Drosophila melanogaster: one gene and its partners. The protein of the gene in region 1 purifies or fractionates together with the protein of each later gene. This does not show direct contact. Each region holds a gene or a part of one and is shown on either strand. Other genes may lie near its edges.

Region 1 (5,199 bases):
GCGGCTTCCGGTGCAGCCTCTTCTGCTGGCGGTGGGGCAGCCTCCTCAGCCGGAGCTGGTGCTGCTTCATCAGCAGGCGCCTCTGCTGCAGGAGCTTCCTCCGCTGGCTGAGCTTCCGCAGCCTCTTCATGAGCTTCTGGCTCTGCTATAGCAGTGGCCGAAGTTCTGGCCGTGGCCGGAGCAGTGCCTGGGGCAGATGGCGGCACAGTTCCGGGAGCAGTTGGTAATGGTGTTGGTCCGGCTGTTATCGCAGCAGTTGTCGGTACTGTCGAGAGATTTACGTCGTCATAGCCATCCTTTGCTGTATCCGGTGAAGAGCTAGCATCCACTTCAGTTGGTTCCGTTGGTTCGGCACAGGGGTCTACGATTGGCTTGGTAACCACGCGCTGCAAATTTGGCGTAAAAAATTAAGAAAAACAGTTTAAAATATAAATATATATAATGTAAAATAGTTTTTAACTCTTGTTACATACCAACATAACCTTGCGGAAGAATCTCTGAAGAACGCTCGCTGCCTGTTCCCTGCGCTTTTCCTCCCCGTCGTCCTCTTTTTCCTGTTGGATTTAAGTCATAACCAAGTTTAGGGGCAGACTTTTAGAAGTAGATTCACTTACCGCTGCGCAGACACAAACGCAAACTTCTTGCGGGAACTGGAGGCGAACCCAGTATCCTCGCCAAGCCGCCTGGATCGTGATGGCTGCCTGGTTGCGCATGGCCTCGTTGATACGCTTCAGTTCCCTGTCCCGGAAGTACTGGTAGAGTAGCTCCGTTCCATCGGCTCCACGTTCGGCGGACATATAGGCGTCCACGAAGCGCTTGTAGGCACTCTCGATGGCCGGCCGTGACATGACCAGCTCCTCGTCGGTAAACTTGCACTTCTGCAGCAGCTCCTCTAGGATGTCCACATCCTCGAACTTAATCGCCTGCTTGCCACGCCGCATCTCGCAGCGTCGTTTCTCGAGGAAGTTACGGAAACAGTCCTCTAGAACCTGGCCCATCAACTCGGACTTCTCCTTGGAGAGATCACAGACACAGAGGTCCGATATTATGCTGTCCACCTGGCGCAGAGAGCGATCCAAAATGGTCTTGGCCACTGTAAGAAAATACAGGCGTGCGTAAAGAAAAGTTTGATACTTTCTACATCCTGTGGGAGTACTTACCCATAGCCTTTTCCCTTGTCACGATCACCGAATGTAGATAGTCGATGATGAACTGGCAGAGGCACTCTTTCTTCGGCTGACACCTTAGCACCTCCCGTGTAACATCTGATAGAAGTTCCGGCAGACCCTCTGGAACATTAATCGCCTGCTGGCGCATCTTGCCACGCTGGATCAAGTAATTCATCTTCGTTTTTCAAAAGTATAAAGCAAAATTCTATAATTTTGAACAGTTTAGCTGAGAAGAAGATAATAATTCGGAAATGGTTCAGTTTTGAAATCCCTTTTAACCGGTCTACTACGTTAAGAGCAAATGAAAATAATAATTTACAGCGCTCTACAATGATTTTTACACGGACTGACTGCGAAATACCTTGCTGATGTAAGGTGCTCAGTTCTGTTTACTTAACCTAGATGGCGCTAGCAAAAAGCTGGTTTAAATGTTTAAATGGTGAAAAACAATAATGGGTTATATATTCTCAATTTGATCCATGAGCTTAAATGTTTCAAAAAACTGTCTCACACGTGTTCCTGAAAATTCCCAAAGTCCACTAACTTTGTAATATGTAAGTTGAAAAATTGTAATGTGTACTTGTGTTTCATGTGGGTAAAATGCACCTTGTACCTTTCAATGAAAGTGGGTGTGTATCGGAAATTAGCATTGCCTAATTTCGTATTCAGCCGGTATAGGAAATCAACAGGGTTCTTGGTGGATTCTTCTTTATCGAAATCCATTGAACCGCTTTCCCTTTCTGTTCTTTCAAATGATCTTTAACCCAGAAACTTGGTAATTTCACAAAGTTAGCGCCAAAACAAAATACTTTCGATCATTTTAGGTAGTACTATATAGTTGAAACACTTTATACGAACACAGTGGCGCAGTGGTGACTTCGGCGCTTATCAATACCATTTTTAAATGAAACTTTAAAATTTGTTAAAAACCGATTATAAATTACAAATTTGAAACAACTAAAATGATTTTAGTAATTCTTATACTCAATTAAAATCAATTTAAAAGAACCATTTTACAAAATCGATTAGTAGTTTTTAATAAACGGGACCCCCTTTCAATCTCCTCCCATGAACTTCGCCTCAAAAAGCTGCGTATAAAAGCTGTTTTCCTCGGTTGTATTTCGATCGGCTCGTCGACGAGTGCGAAAAAGCTTTCACTACCTCGATCGCAACCGGCACCACGGGCTTGGGATCAGTTGGCGACGGAATGCAGCAGCTGATCAGAGTGGCGCGGACGTTGGGTGAGGAACTGGGTGATTCCCGGCTGACTGGATGATCGATTTGCCGCCTCCGTCTTTGCAGGTCAACGCTCGAGCGGCGCATGGAGTGCGAGGATAATCGCTGGTGGAAACCGGGGAATCGCATGCCTGGCCGCCCTCTCCGAGACCCACCAGATTCTCCAGAAGACTTGCCGGGAGTTCGCCAATGCGGAACTGGCCCCCAAAGCGCGACACCACGACCGGGAGGAGCTTTATCCGGCGGAACAGGTCCGACGGTTGGGAGAACTCGGTCTCATGTCAGTGACGGTTCGAGAGGAGTATGGTGAGTTCCTATTTCAATTATAATATTTACAATATTTACATAACATAAAATATGTGATGTTTTCATTTTTGAAATGGTATATAAATAGATCATACTACTAGATTCCATTCATTAAATATTGATTTTTCAGGTGGTTCCGGATTGGATTACCAGGCCTACGCGATTGGCATGGAGGAGGTGGCTCGTGGTGACGCCGCCGTGTCCATTGTGATGGGCGTGAATAACCTGTACCTGGGTGCAGTGCAGCAGCATGGAACCGAGCAGCAGAAGCAGGATTTCCTGGTGCCGTACACCCAGGGTGAGCACATCGCCTTCTATGCACTATCGGAACCTGGAAACGGATCGGATGCAGGAGCTGCCAGCACCACGGCCAAGCTGCAAGGGGACAGCTACCAAATAAACGGCACTAAAGCGTGGATATCAAACTCCAAGGAGGCCAGCGGGGGTATCGTCTTTGCCACGGTGGACAAGAGCATGAAACACAAGGGAATCACTGCCTTTCTTACGCCCAAGGATGTTCCAGGACTCTCCATAGCCAAGAAGGAAAGCAAAATGGGCATGCGCGCGACTTCGACTTGCCAGCTGGTGCTGGAGGACGTTCACGTGCCGCGATCCCGGGTCCTTGGAGCTGCCGGTGATGGCTTCAAGATCGCCATGCAGTCCTTGGACTGTGGCAGGATCGGTATAGCCGCCCAGGCCACCGGTATCGCACAAGCTGCCCTGGAACTAGCCGTGGATTATTCGCAGAAGAGGGTGGCCTTCGGAAAGCATCTGGCACGGTTGCAGCTCATCCAGCAGAAGCTGGCCGACATGGCCACGCGGGTGGAGATCTCAAGGCTGCTAACGTGGCGTGCCGCTTGGCTGAAGGATAATGGGCTGCCAATCACAAAGGAGGCGGCCATGGCCAAGCTGCATGCCTCCGAGTCCGCCACCTTTTGTGCCCACCAGTGCATCCAGATCCTGGGTGGGATGGGGTACACCACCGATCTGCCTGCGGAGCTTTACTACCGCAACGCCCGCGTCACAGAGATTTACGAGGGAACCTCGGAGATCCAAAGAATTGTGATCGCCAACGCAGTGCTGCGGGAATTGGGAAAGGAGTGAAAGCCATTGTTGGTTTTTCTTTATTACTGCTGCCAAACCAATCAGAATTCTTGCTTTTACACTTGTTGTGTATGTAAATTAGTTTATCTATGCCAGACAAATGCATTTAATAAAGTATATTTAAACAAATGAAACCTGGATTTAGAAAAATATCTTTTTTCGATTAAATGAGGTAATTCCCCTAACTATAACTCTTTATGTTATATTGAAATGTAACGGCTTGCACATGACAGCATATCTAACATTTTTACCAACAGAGAAATGTAAACTAACATAAATTTAACAGTCATAGACAGTCATGAGAGAAAATATCGATGTTGCCAGTCATCGATACATAATTCGATTTTATTACAGCTGCTCCCTTGTTATTGTTTTCTTAATTTAAATAAAACTAATTTGACGGCTAAATGACGGCCAATTTGTTAAACCTGAACGTGGACACGCTGTTTGAGCAGCACAGCGTGTCCGAGATAGACGAGGTGCACAAAAAGATCCAGTCGGTGGTGGAGAACAAGCGCGAGGAGTTGCGCACTCATGTCGGGTGAGTGATGTGGCACCTTCAGAAGATTTGCTGCTTAAACATTCTAAATCTTTAAGGGAGCGGTACCGAGATCTTTTGCAGGCGGCTGACACCATTGCTGCGATGCAAACGTCGGCCGGGACACTTATGGAGCAAGTGCGACACGTGCAGGCCAATTGCCGCAGTCTAAACGAGCAGCAGCTCCTGGGCTTCCAGTCAACTGCCAATGCAAGTGCTAAAGATGCCGCACTGAAGGAGAGGAACGCCGGAAAAAAGCTGCAGACCTACTACGGCACCATGGCTCAGATTAAGTTGCTTACTGCCCTGCCGGAACTAATCTGGACGCACTTGGACAACGATCGCTTCTATGCCGCTACTGAGTTGTTCATCTTCAGTCGCCACATCAGCACGGGCTTGCAACTGGACGGCCAGAGTGCCCTGATGCAGAAACTACCGGTAGCGCGCAAGCAATGGGAAATCCTGCGTCCCTTTCACGTGACCATCAAACAAGCCATACTGACCGCACTGGAGAGGGAGGAACTCCTACAAGAAATGACTGTGGACTGCCTGCAGAGCCTTCTCTTGCTAGACAAAAGCGATTTGAGTACTGTGCTGAAATCCTTCTTGAACCTGCGCTCCTCAGCCTTTCTGAACTGCCTGCAAAGCGGTCCATCGGAGCCACGTCGCGTCAAGGATCGCATTTTGGCTAGCTTAAACGTGCTCAACAGCACCGTGGAGCTTCTGGACAAGTGTCTTTTGGGTATGTTTCCATTCGCAGATAGGCACACAACATTATTATTGGAACAATCGGTCTTTTCTCTCGTACAGGTTATAGCCTTCTTTTTAGCCGCTTGGAGGAGTGTG
Region 2 (3,961 bases), about 13 Mb from region 1:
TTGTCGTACAGCGTCTTCTTCTCAATGGAATCCTCAGCTTCATCCACTTCGGTGGCTGCGCTTATGGCTGTGCCCATTCGCTTAGACGAATCCTCTTGCAGGAACACATCCAACAGTCCCGAAAAGGCCACTCCGGCCAGCATGCACACCACCGGCGTGAGGGTCAACATCAAACGCACCATCACACCAGCGAAGTAAACCGCACTGATGGCGTACAGCACCACGAAAACGCGCTCGTCGTTGATCTGCTTGATGCAGTACCACACTCCCACTGGGAAGGCGCACACCAGGATGTGCAGATCAAAGAAGAACGAGAACCAAGTGGTGGGCTGATGCTCCGACACGGATGCAATGATGGGAATGTGGATCTTGGCGTAGCCAGTATCCCACAGCGAGTAGAAGCGTCCACTCCACGGGGCCACAACGCCCAGCATGGTGAGCACCACGACGGCCACAAAGACGCCAACGCCCACCAGCAATCCGCCGACGATGAACAGCTTCCGGAACTCGTTGCGCGACAGCACGGACTGCAAATGGCGCAAGGTGGCCACGGCCATAAGGAGCACAAACACTCCCAGCGCAGCCATGTGTTCACTGGTGCGTATCGGTTGGAATCCCACGAAGGGGATCTGCATGGAGAACAGCAGTCCCAGGATGTAGAAGGTGCTGTAGCTGGTCAGCAGACGCGGCGAGTACCTGCCCATAATGAGCAGTACGAAGACGTGCAGGGGTATCAGGTTGATGATGAACACGTAGCCACCCCAGGCGGACACCATGTAGAAGTAGGACAAAGCGGCTGCGGCCGACCAGAACACGGATCCAGTCTTCACTGAGCGCACCCACAGGAAGTAGGTGAACTGCAGGGCGAATATGGCAATGCCCTCGTTATCGTACGATCCAGCCACCGACCTACTGATGTAGCCAGGCACGATGGCGATGAAGCTGGCGGCGAAGAGGCCGGCGCCCGCGGACCACAGCTCCTTGGTCAGCAGGTAGGTGGAGATGGAGGTCAGGCCACTGAAGATCGGCGCCAGGAACACGCAGATGTCACGAATATGGACCGGTATGTTGAGTACGTGCAGCAGCCAATGGATTCCGCCGGACGTAATCATCAGGCCGGGATAGACGGTACCGCCCACAATCCTGCCGAGCGGATACCATGCGCGCTCGTCGAACCAGTTGAGGAAGTTGTACCAACCATTCTGCACCATGTAGGCGGTGGCCCGGTAGTTGAACCACGGATCAAACTCATGGATAATCGACTCGAAACGGATGACGGCGAAGAGGCGAGAGGAAAATCCGGCCAGCCAGGCGATTAGCAGGATGGCGAAGGTGATTAGGCTGCTGTAGCCAGCCACCTTGCTGTTCAGCATCTTCGGCGTCCGATTCATGTCCCAATTCCAGCCAGTAACTCGAAAATTATAACCGATCTGAAATGCAACGACACATTCTTCGCTTAGACACGTAGTCTAAAAAAATTGCCGGGTAGACTGCCAACTCGGTTTTAGATACGCTATCGATAGTGCAATCGATAACAAGACCAGGGCAACGTAACTTTGAATGCTTTTAAATTTGTACTTGCCTCGTTTTCGTTGTATTCCAAAATAATTTAAAATACATCTAAACAATTTTTTGGAATAACTTTTTGTTCCATTTATTTGCATAGCATAAAAAAATAAGCAAACTCTCCATTCCATTTGTTCTGTGTCTTGTTCAAAATAATCGCCGTTGCGCTCATCTCTAGTTTAATTCCTATGATTGACAGAAGCCGCTGAAAAACCTAAGAATATTGAAAATCAACATGAATAATGGGAATATAAAACGCCTTCAAAAGAAACTCAGCGTTTCGAAAAAGCCAGCAGTCACTGTGGATTCACCATTGGCAAAATATCCTTTACAAAAGCAAAAAACCCACTGAAATTCTATTGTTGTTTACACTTTCTAGCCGGTGTTTACTAAAACATGTTGTTTTCTAATATAACTTTTAATTTCGAATAAATATCCAGCTAGTTGGTTTCCTTAACTGAACTTAACTATACGTATGACTCCTCGGGCATCTTGACCTGCATTATTTGCAGGATTCCTATCAAACCCAACGTCTGGAAGGTGCATATAAATTCCAAGCAGCACAAACTGAACGTCGATCAGGCTAAGCAGAATAAGGTGGAGAAACCCGTCACCACTACTGCACCCAAGGATCCTACGGGTCCGTCCACCAAGACTTCAGCTCCTGCCAAAAACTCCAGCACACTGCCAGATAAAACTCCACAGAGCAGCCAGGAAAAGCATCCTCCCCTCATTCAAGAGAAAACTGCCCAGGGAAATGCGAGCAGCAAGCCTGAGAATGAAACTACTGTCGAGAAACTGCCAGAAAAGTTCTTCGACGAGGATAAGACCAATAAATCGGAGGCCGCTCGCCTTCAGGACGAGGAATGGCAGCGATTCCAGCAGGAGATCAAGCGGGCGGACACGGAATCCAGTGAAATTGTGGCCGACGAGCAGGAGGACATCAATCTCAAGCGACACATCAAGGAGATCGACGAGCAGATCGACAACTGGAAGAGATTTATTAAAATTAACGATCAGAAAAAAGTACTCCTTAGTAAAAAGCGAAGAGTAGACCCCAAGATGGAGGTCGATCCGGAATTGAGTTCAAGCGAAGAAGATTGCAGTGTGGATGATTTGTTCGACTGGAGAACGAAAAATCTGCATAGCTAGAGAATAAATATGGTATTAAAATGTTACTGTTATAAAACAACAAACGTCTTTTAATTAACGCATTATTCCATTCAAAAGTCTTTCCAAAGCCAAAAAAATTCAAAAAAAAAAGCGTGTTAGAAAATTTTGAAAATATAATTTCGTAGATTTTTATAAACTGAAAGTGAAAAAAACTGGTGGAACAGCTGACACATCTTGACCATGAAAGTGGTCAACAGGTAGAAAGTGGTACGTGGCCACACTGCGACTAACTCTCACATTTTGTATTAGCGCTAAGCGATCCGTACGCTACATTACTATCAGACTTAGTACATATTTTATGTTACATTAATTAGTTACAGACTCTTATTTATTCTTAAGCCGTATCTACAGAAACCTTGTTAATGTTGTGTTGAGTATTACGTATTAGTTGTGCAAATGTTTTGTTGTGTTTAAGAATGTTTTGAACTCGTTACGTTGTTTGTTTGATGTGATCAAGTTTCCCATAAACACAAACATATCCCCCCATTTGTTACAATGATATCTAATTCGTGAACATGAGCCTAAAGTATATAATCTTTTTTTGGATGTTGACGGCGAACTATTCAAGTGTCTTAAGCTTGGAATATTCCAAAGGTTTCAATGAGTCGGACGCTATTAACACAATTCACACGGGCCACAATAAACGAACCAGTAAATTTCTATTTGACACAATTTTTCGCATAAGTTCGGGAGTATCGAATGCCTTTGGACTTTCGGATACCGAAGACGAGGTCGAGTATACCGAAAATTCCAGCCTAAAAAACTGTGACTGTGGTATGTGCATGTGTTGTTTGTTGCTGATATTTAAATTAATGTGATAAATTTCACTCGTGCAGATTGTGGCTTTTCGAACGAAGAAATCCGGATTGTTGGGGGAAAGCCCACGGGTGTTAATCAATATCCTTGGATGGCACGAATCGTGTACGACGGCAAGTTCCATTGCGGAGGATCCTTACTGACGAAGGATTACGTTCTATCGGCCGCTCACTGCGTGAAGAAACTGCGAAAATCCAAAATCAGAGTCATATTCGGCGACCACGATCAAGAGATCACCTCGGAGTCACAGGCCATCCAACGTGCGGTTACGGCTGTGATAAAGCACAAGAGCTTTGACCCCGATACATACAACAACGACATTGCCCTGTTGCGACTTCGCAAGCCTATATCGTTTTCTAAAATTATAAAGCCAATCTGCCTACCGCGCTATAATTACGACCCCGCA
Region 3 (4,610 bases), on another chromosome or scaffold:
CAACACAGAGTTTCTGGCAAAAGTTCCGCGACTAAGTTCGCTTAGGGCATTATGAGAAACGTTGCACCATCCCAGCTTTGTCAGATCAGCTATGTGCTGTGCCTCCAGCTTTTTGATCTGGTTGTGACTTATATCCAAGACCTCCAACTCTCTTAGATTCTTAAATTGGTTTCGTTTCAGATTCTCCAATTGATTTCCATGCAAGTCGAGCGTTTTTAGTTTCCGCAATGGCTGGAAAGTCTCAATAGGCAGATCACTTAGGTTACCATTGGTCACACGTATGATTCCCAGACTATTGGCGATCTCTTGGCCAGCAAATAGATCCTTGGGTAGCTGTTGGAACGCATGGCCATCGATTACGAGTTCCTTAGCTTTTCCTAGAATCTGAAAAAAGAATTTCCCGTTTAGATAACGATGGTATCGGTATATTGTTTAATTCTTACGCCGAATCCTAGTAAACCAACGTGGCTTAGATTTGTGCGAAGTAAATGCAGTTGCTCCAAAGTATTATTTACTCCATAGAAAACATAATCCTCAATGGTGGCCAATGGTGTTTCTTCTATGATCAGCATTCGTGCTTTGATATGAGCAAATAGTGGCCCATATAGACGAACTAGAAAGAGAATTTGATTCTTCAGCTTAACAGACTAAAAGGACGTGTAGAAGTACACACCGAAATGTCCTCTGTAGATGGTCAACTCCTCGATGGGCATACCAAAAGAGGCCAAATTCTGAAGGGCTACGGATAAGGTAGCCAAGTTTGTATTTTCGCACCGAATGTAGAGGCCATTATCGCTGCCCTTCACACATTCGCAGGGGTACAAGGCCTTTGATCTGATTTGAAAAAAAAACACCATATAAGTGAAGAAATATGTAATATACAATATTTGGAATAACTCACTTTTTTGGACACTTGAATTCGGGTTCGCCATACACATATTCCGAACTGGCTAGGGCAATGAAGTGCAGCAAAACGAGAGTGCGCAGGCGTAGCTGAATCATGTTTTAATGATTTCGTCACCGTTTTAATTTAGTTTATCCCATGGCCCAAAACCAAGTTCGCTGCTCAAGTCTTTTGTGTGGGCTTCGATTTCCTGAAACTTATAGTTCTTTGTTTAACGATGTTCCGCTTGAATGAGGTGGGTTTTTTTTTGGGATGTGGAGTAAAGTTAACTTGTCTTATCAACGAACAAAGGTAAATGGTTTCTTCTACTTTTACTTTTCGCTCTGCTGGCGCAACAGGTTTTCATGGGCCGCTCTTGTGCGCTCTTTGTGACCAGCACTTTGGAGCTCTAATTGAATTAATGCCAACTATATTAACTGCTCCCGAAAGTCAGAGCACTGTGAACCACAGTTTCCACTTCGGTTCCCCCATTTATTCCGCGGTTTTAACATATTTTTATTTATTTTACCCTTGGCGCACAATACAATCGATAGATTTCGGGCGAGTTGGCAGCCCCGTTGAACCATCGCTTCAGACAATCGGCATCCCAAATATCGAATCAGCCGCACACGCTAATACAACCCTGTTGTGACATCTCGCTCGTTGGAAAAGCAAAAACCAGGCGCAAAATAAATATAATTTGCTAACGTTACTCTACAATTATCTTTGTACAATCGCACAAGCAAACGTAAGTACCAAAAGACAAACGAACGCAACGAACCAAATGGCCAATTCAAAGCGCGCACTTTTTGGCATTTTGCAATTGAAATGAGTGGGCATTGTTCACGTTGCTCGCCTCGTCGACAGGGAGAAATACTGACTTCGCCCGTTTTAGCCGCCATCGCGACTGCAGCCAATCACGGGCCGCGCTACACACACGCGGCAGAAAATCCGTGTACATACACGTCTGAGCGCTGTGGTATTGGTGGCCGGGGAGAACGCGAGTTACTCGCTGCATAGAGTAGCCCACTATGTGTTTATTGCGCGGCAAAAGTGCGTTAATCGGTTAAAGCCGCTACTTACATTCTGTTCTTTGCATCTCCCCCATCCACAGCTATAAAGCAAGATGAGCTACGCCGCTGATGTGCTGAACTCGGCCCATTTGGAGCTCCATGGTGGTGGCGACGCCGAGTTGCGTCGTCCATTCGATCCCACGGCCCATGATTTGGATGCATCCTTCCGCCTTACACGCTTCGCAGATCTAAAGGGGCGCGGCTGCAAAGTGCCGCAGGATGTGCTCTCCAAGCTGGTGTCCGCCCTGCAGCAGGACTACTCTGCCCAGGACCAGGAACCGCAGTTTCTCAACGTGGCCATTCCCCGCATCGGTATTGGCCTGGACTGCTCCGTCATTCCGCTGCGACACGGCGGACTCTGCCTGGTGCAGACCACCGATTTCTTTTACCCCATTGTCGATGATCCCTACATGATGGGCAAAATTGCGTGCGCCAATGTGCTCAGCGATTTGTATGCCATGGGAGTCACAGATTGCGATAACATGCTGATGCTGTTGGCGGTCAGTACCAAGATGACAGAGAAGGAGCGTGACGTGGTCATTCCGCTGATAATGCGAGGCTTTAAGGACTCCGCTTTGGAGGCAGGCACCACTGTGACTGGAGGCCAGAGCGTGGTCAATCCGTGGTGCACCATTGGTGGGGTTGCCTCGACCATTTGCCAGCCAAATGAGTATATTGTGCCAGATAATGCCGTGGTAGGGGATGTACTGGTGCTAACCAAGCCACTGGGCACCCAAGTGGCCGTGAATGCCCACCAGTGGATTGACCAGCCGGAGCGCTGGAACCGCATTAAGCTGGTGGTGTCCGAAGAAGATGTACGCAAGGCCTACCACCGGGCGATGAACTCTATGGCTCGCCTCAACCGCGTAGCCGCTCGCCTCATGCACAAGTACAATGCCCACGGAGCCACCGATATTACTGGATTCGGACTACTAGGCCACGCTCAAACCCTGGCTGCACATCAGAAAAAGGATGTCTCCTTTGTTATCCACAATCTGCCGGTGATCGCCAAGATGGCTGCAGTGGCCAAAGCCTGCGGCAACATGTTCCAGCTGCTGCAGGGCCACTCGGCGGAGACCTCGGGAGGATTACTGATCTGCCTGCCGCGAGAGCAGGCCGCTGCTTATTGCAAGGACATCGAGAAGCAGGAGGGCTACCAGGCCTGGATCATCGGCATCGTTGAGAAGGGCAATAAGACCGCACGCATCATCGACAAGCCCCGCGTCATTGAGGTGCCCGCCAAGGACTAGGTCTCCATTGCCTGACCATCTGCTATTGTCTACCTTAAGTATCTTAATATTAACGTAACGGCTGCTACATTCAGTTGTAACCGGCATGATCGGTCTTTGTTTTTTATAAAAAAGCTTATCAACTACAGATTCACTGATCATTATAATCTTGGACGTCTCTACTGCAATACGAGTGAATAAAATGAAAACACTTGAATCTTTTGTATCGAGTAATTGGAATGCGGGGCATCTGAATGAGCTTTTTCCAGTCAACTTTGTTATTAAATTACAGCTCACAGTTTGGCAAAAAGTGGAGCATCTTCGGAATCGCATACATTTTGAACAGTTGTGTGTTGAGAATTTAATCGACTTATTTAACCCACTAAATAAGTTGTAGAAGTCACATTTATTTTTGTTTAGTTAGTGCACCTGCGCTTTGAGGCTAAAAACTCAGCTGGTGTAAATTTTAAATTTGCTTGCTGATTTTAGTTTACAGTCGCATGCTTATGAAATCAGCACGCGTTTTGAAAGTCAAATTGTTGGAGGTTTAAGTGAATTTTAATCGTTAAGCTTTGTTTCGCAGTTCAAACTTGGGAGCGGGTTATCAGGAAAGTAATTGTCAAGTACCAAGCCAGCAAAAAGAAGTGTCATGTATCTCATTTAGATACGTGTGCTGATAGTACCTTCAGATAGTTTAAAACATGTTTGAGTACAGGAATATTCTTACTAAAAATATGATCATTTTGAACTGAACTTCATTTGAAAATTAATTGGTTATGATAAGTTTGAGAGTGAATTTCGGAAACATGGACATTTAAAGAGACATTTAAAGGACGTTGATTTGTTGAGGAGAATTTAGCATGGGTTATCAGATACCCTAACCTCCTAACCTCTATTGTTCGATCAATCGGCATTAGTTGCGGAGAGCGAAAAGCTTTGCAAGCTCTAAAAACCAAAACCGAGCGAGAGATGCTCTCGTGCGAACAGGTCTCCGGCAAGTTGCCATCGGATGGGATCGGATCGCACTGGTGGGGATCGGGATCGCTGGTGGCAAGTGCGGATCGTGGGCCTCAGTACCGCCCGAGCTAGCGACGCGTTAAGATCCGCATCCGAATCGTAAACACAACGAGAAACTTACACTGCGCGCACCGTTACACTTTTGTGCTGGGAGCGATCGAACACTAATACACTGACCAACGAATTTCCCGCACAACGAAGAGATTTTCCCTCCCCAATTGAACTGTACTTGGACGTACGTTGCGTTTTTGGAGTTTTGGAAAAGTGCACAGTGAGTGCTGCAAGTATTTGTACATACAGAGCCACATAGCGATACAAACGTCGATAGATAGAAAGATACATATGTAGATAGTGTGTGGGCTGTTGGGGCTCTTTGCTGTTCGGTGTTTGGTGTTTGGAAGACGAGCT

The links. The genes of interacting proteins can lie anywhere in the genome.
Region 2: the proteins of CG4860 (region 1) and CG11839 purify together in Drosophila melanogaster (affinity purification with mass spectrometry, with the first as the bait; one large-scale study listed by BioGRID). This does not show direct contact.
Region 3: the proteins of CG4860 (region 1) and Sps1 purify together in Drosophila melanogaster (affinity purification with mass spectrometry, with the first as the bait; one large-scale study listed by BioGRID). This does not show direct contact.

Annotation. Positions count from the first base shown.
Region 1 is NT_033777.3:12,218,628-12,223,826, reverse strand, and holds CG4860 (uncharacterized protein), read left to right. Parts: upstream 1-2,362; 5' UTR 2,363-2,376; coding exon 2,377-2,410; exon of another isoform or gene 2,411-2,471; coding exon 2,472-2,711; exon of another isoform or gene 2,712-2,788; intron 2,789-2,841; coding exon 2,842-3,815; 3' UTR 3,816-3,946; downstream 3,947-5,199. Other genes in the region: Rsbp15 (radial spoke binding protein 15), read right to left, coding at 1-386, 474-554, 615-1,093, 1,161-1,344; Cog1 (component of oligomeric golgi complex 1), read left to right, coding at 4,223-4,356, 4,413-5,095, 5,164-5,199.
Region 2 is NT_033777.3:25,068,164-25,072,124, forward strand, and holds CG11839 (uncharacterized protein), read left to right. Parts: upstream 1-1,763; 5' UTR 1,764-1,801; coding exon 1,802-1,887; intron 1,888-2,039; coding exon 2,040-2,718; 3' UTR 2,719-2,751; downstream 2,752-3,961. Other genes in the region: Stt3B (catalytic subunit 3B of the oligosaccharyltransferase complex), read right to left, coding at 1-1,391; CG11836 (uncharacterized protein), read left to right, coding at 3,255-3,513, 3,576-3,961.
Region 3 is NT_033778.4:14,267,562-14,272,171, reverse strand, and holds Sps1 (selenophosphate synthetase 1), read left to right. Parts: upstream 1-1,513; 5' UTR 1,514-2,009; coding exon 2,010-3,206; 3' UTR 3,207-3,400; downstream 3,401-4,610. Other genes in the region: conv (convoluted), read right to left, coding at 1-384, 444-613, 674-834, 902-1,002.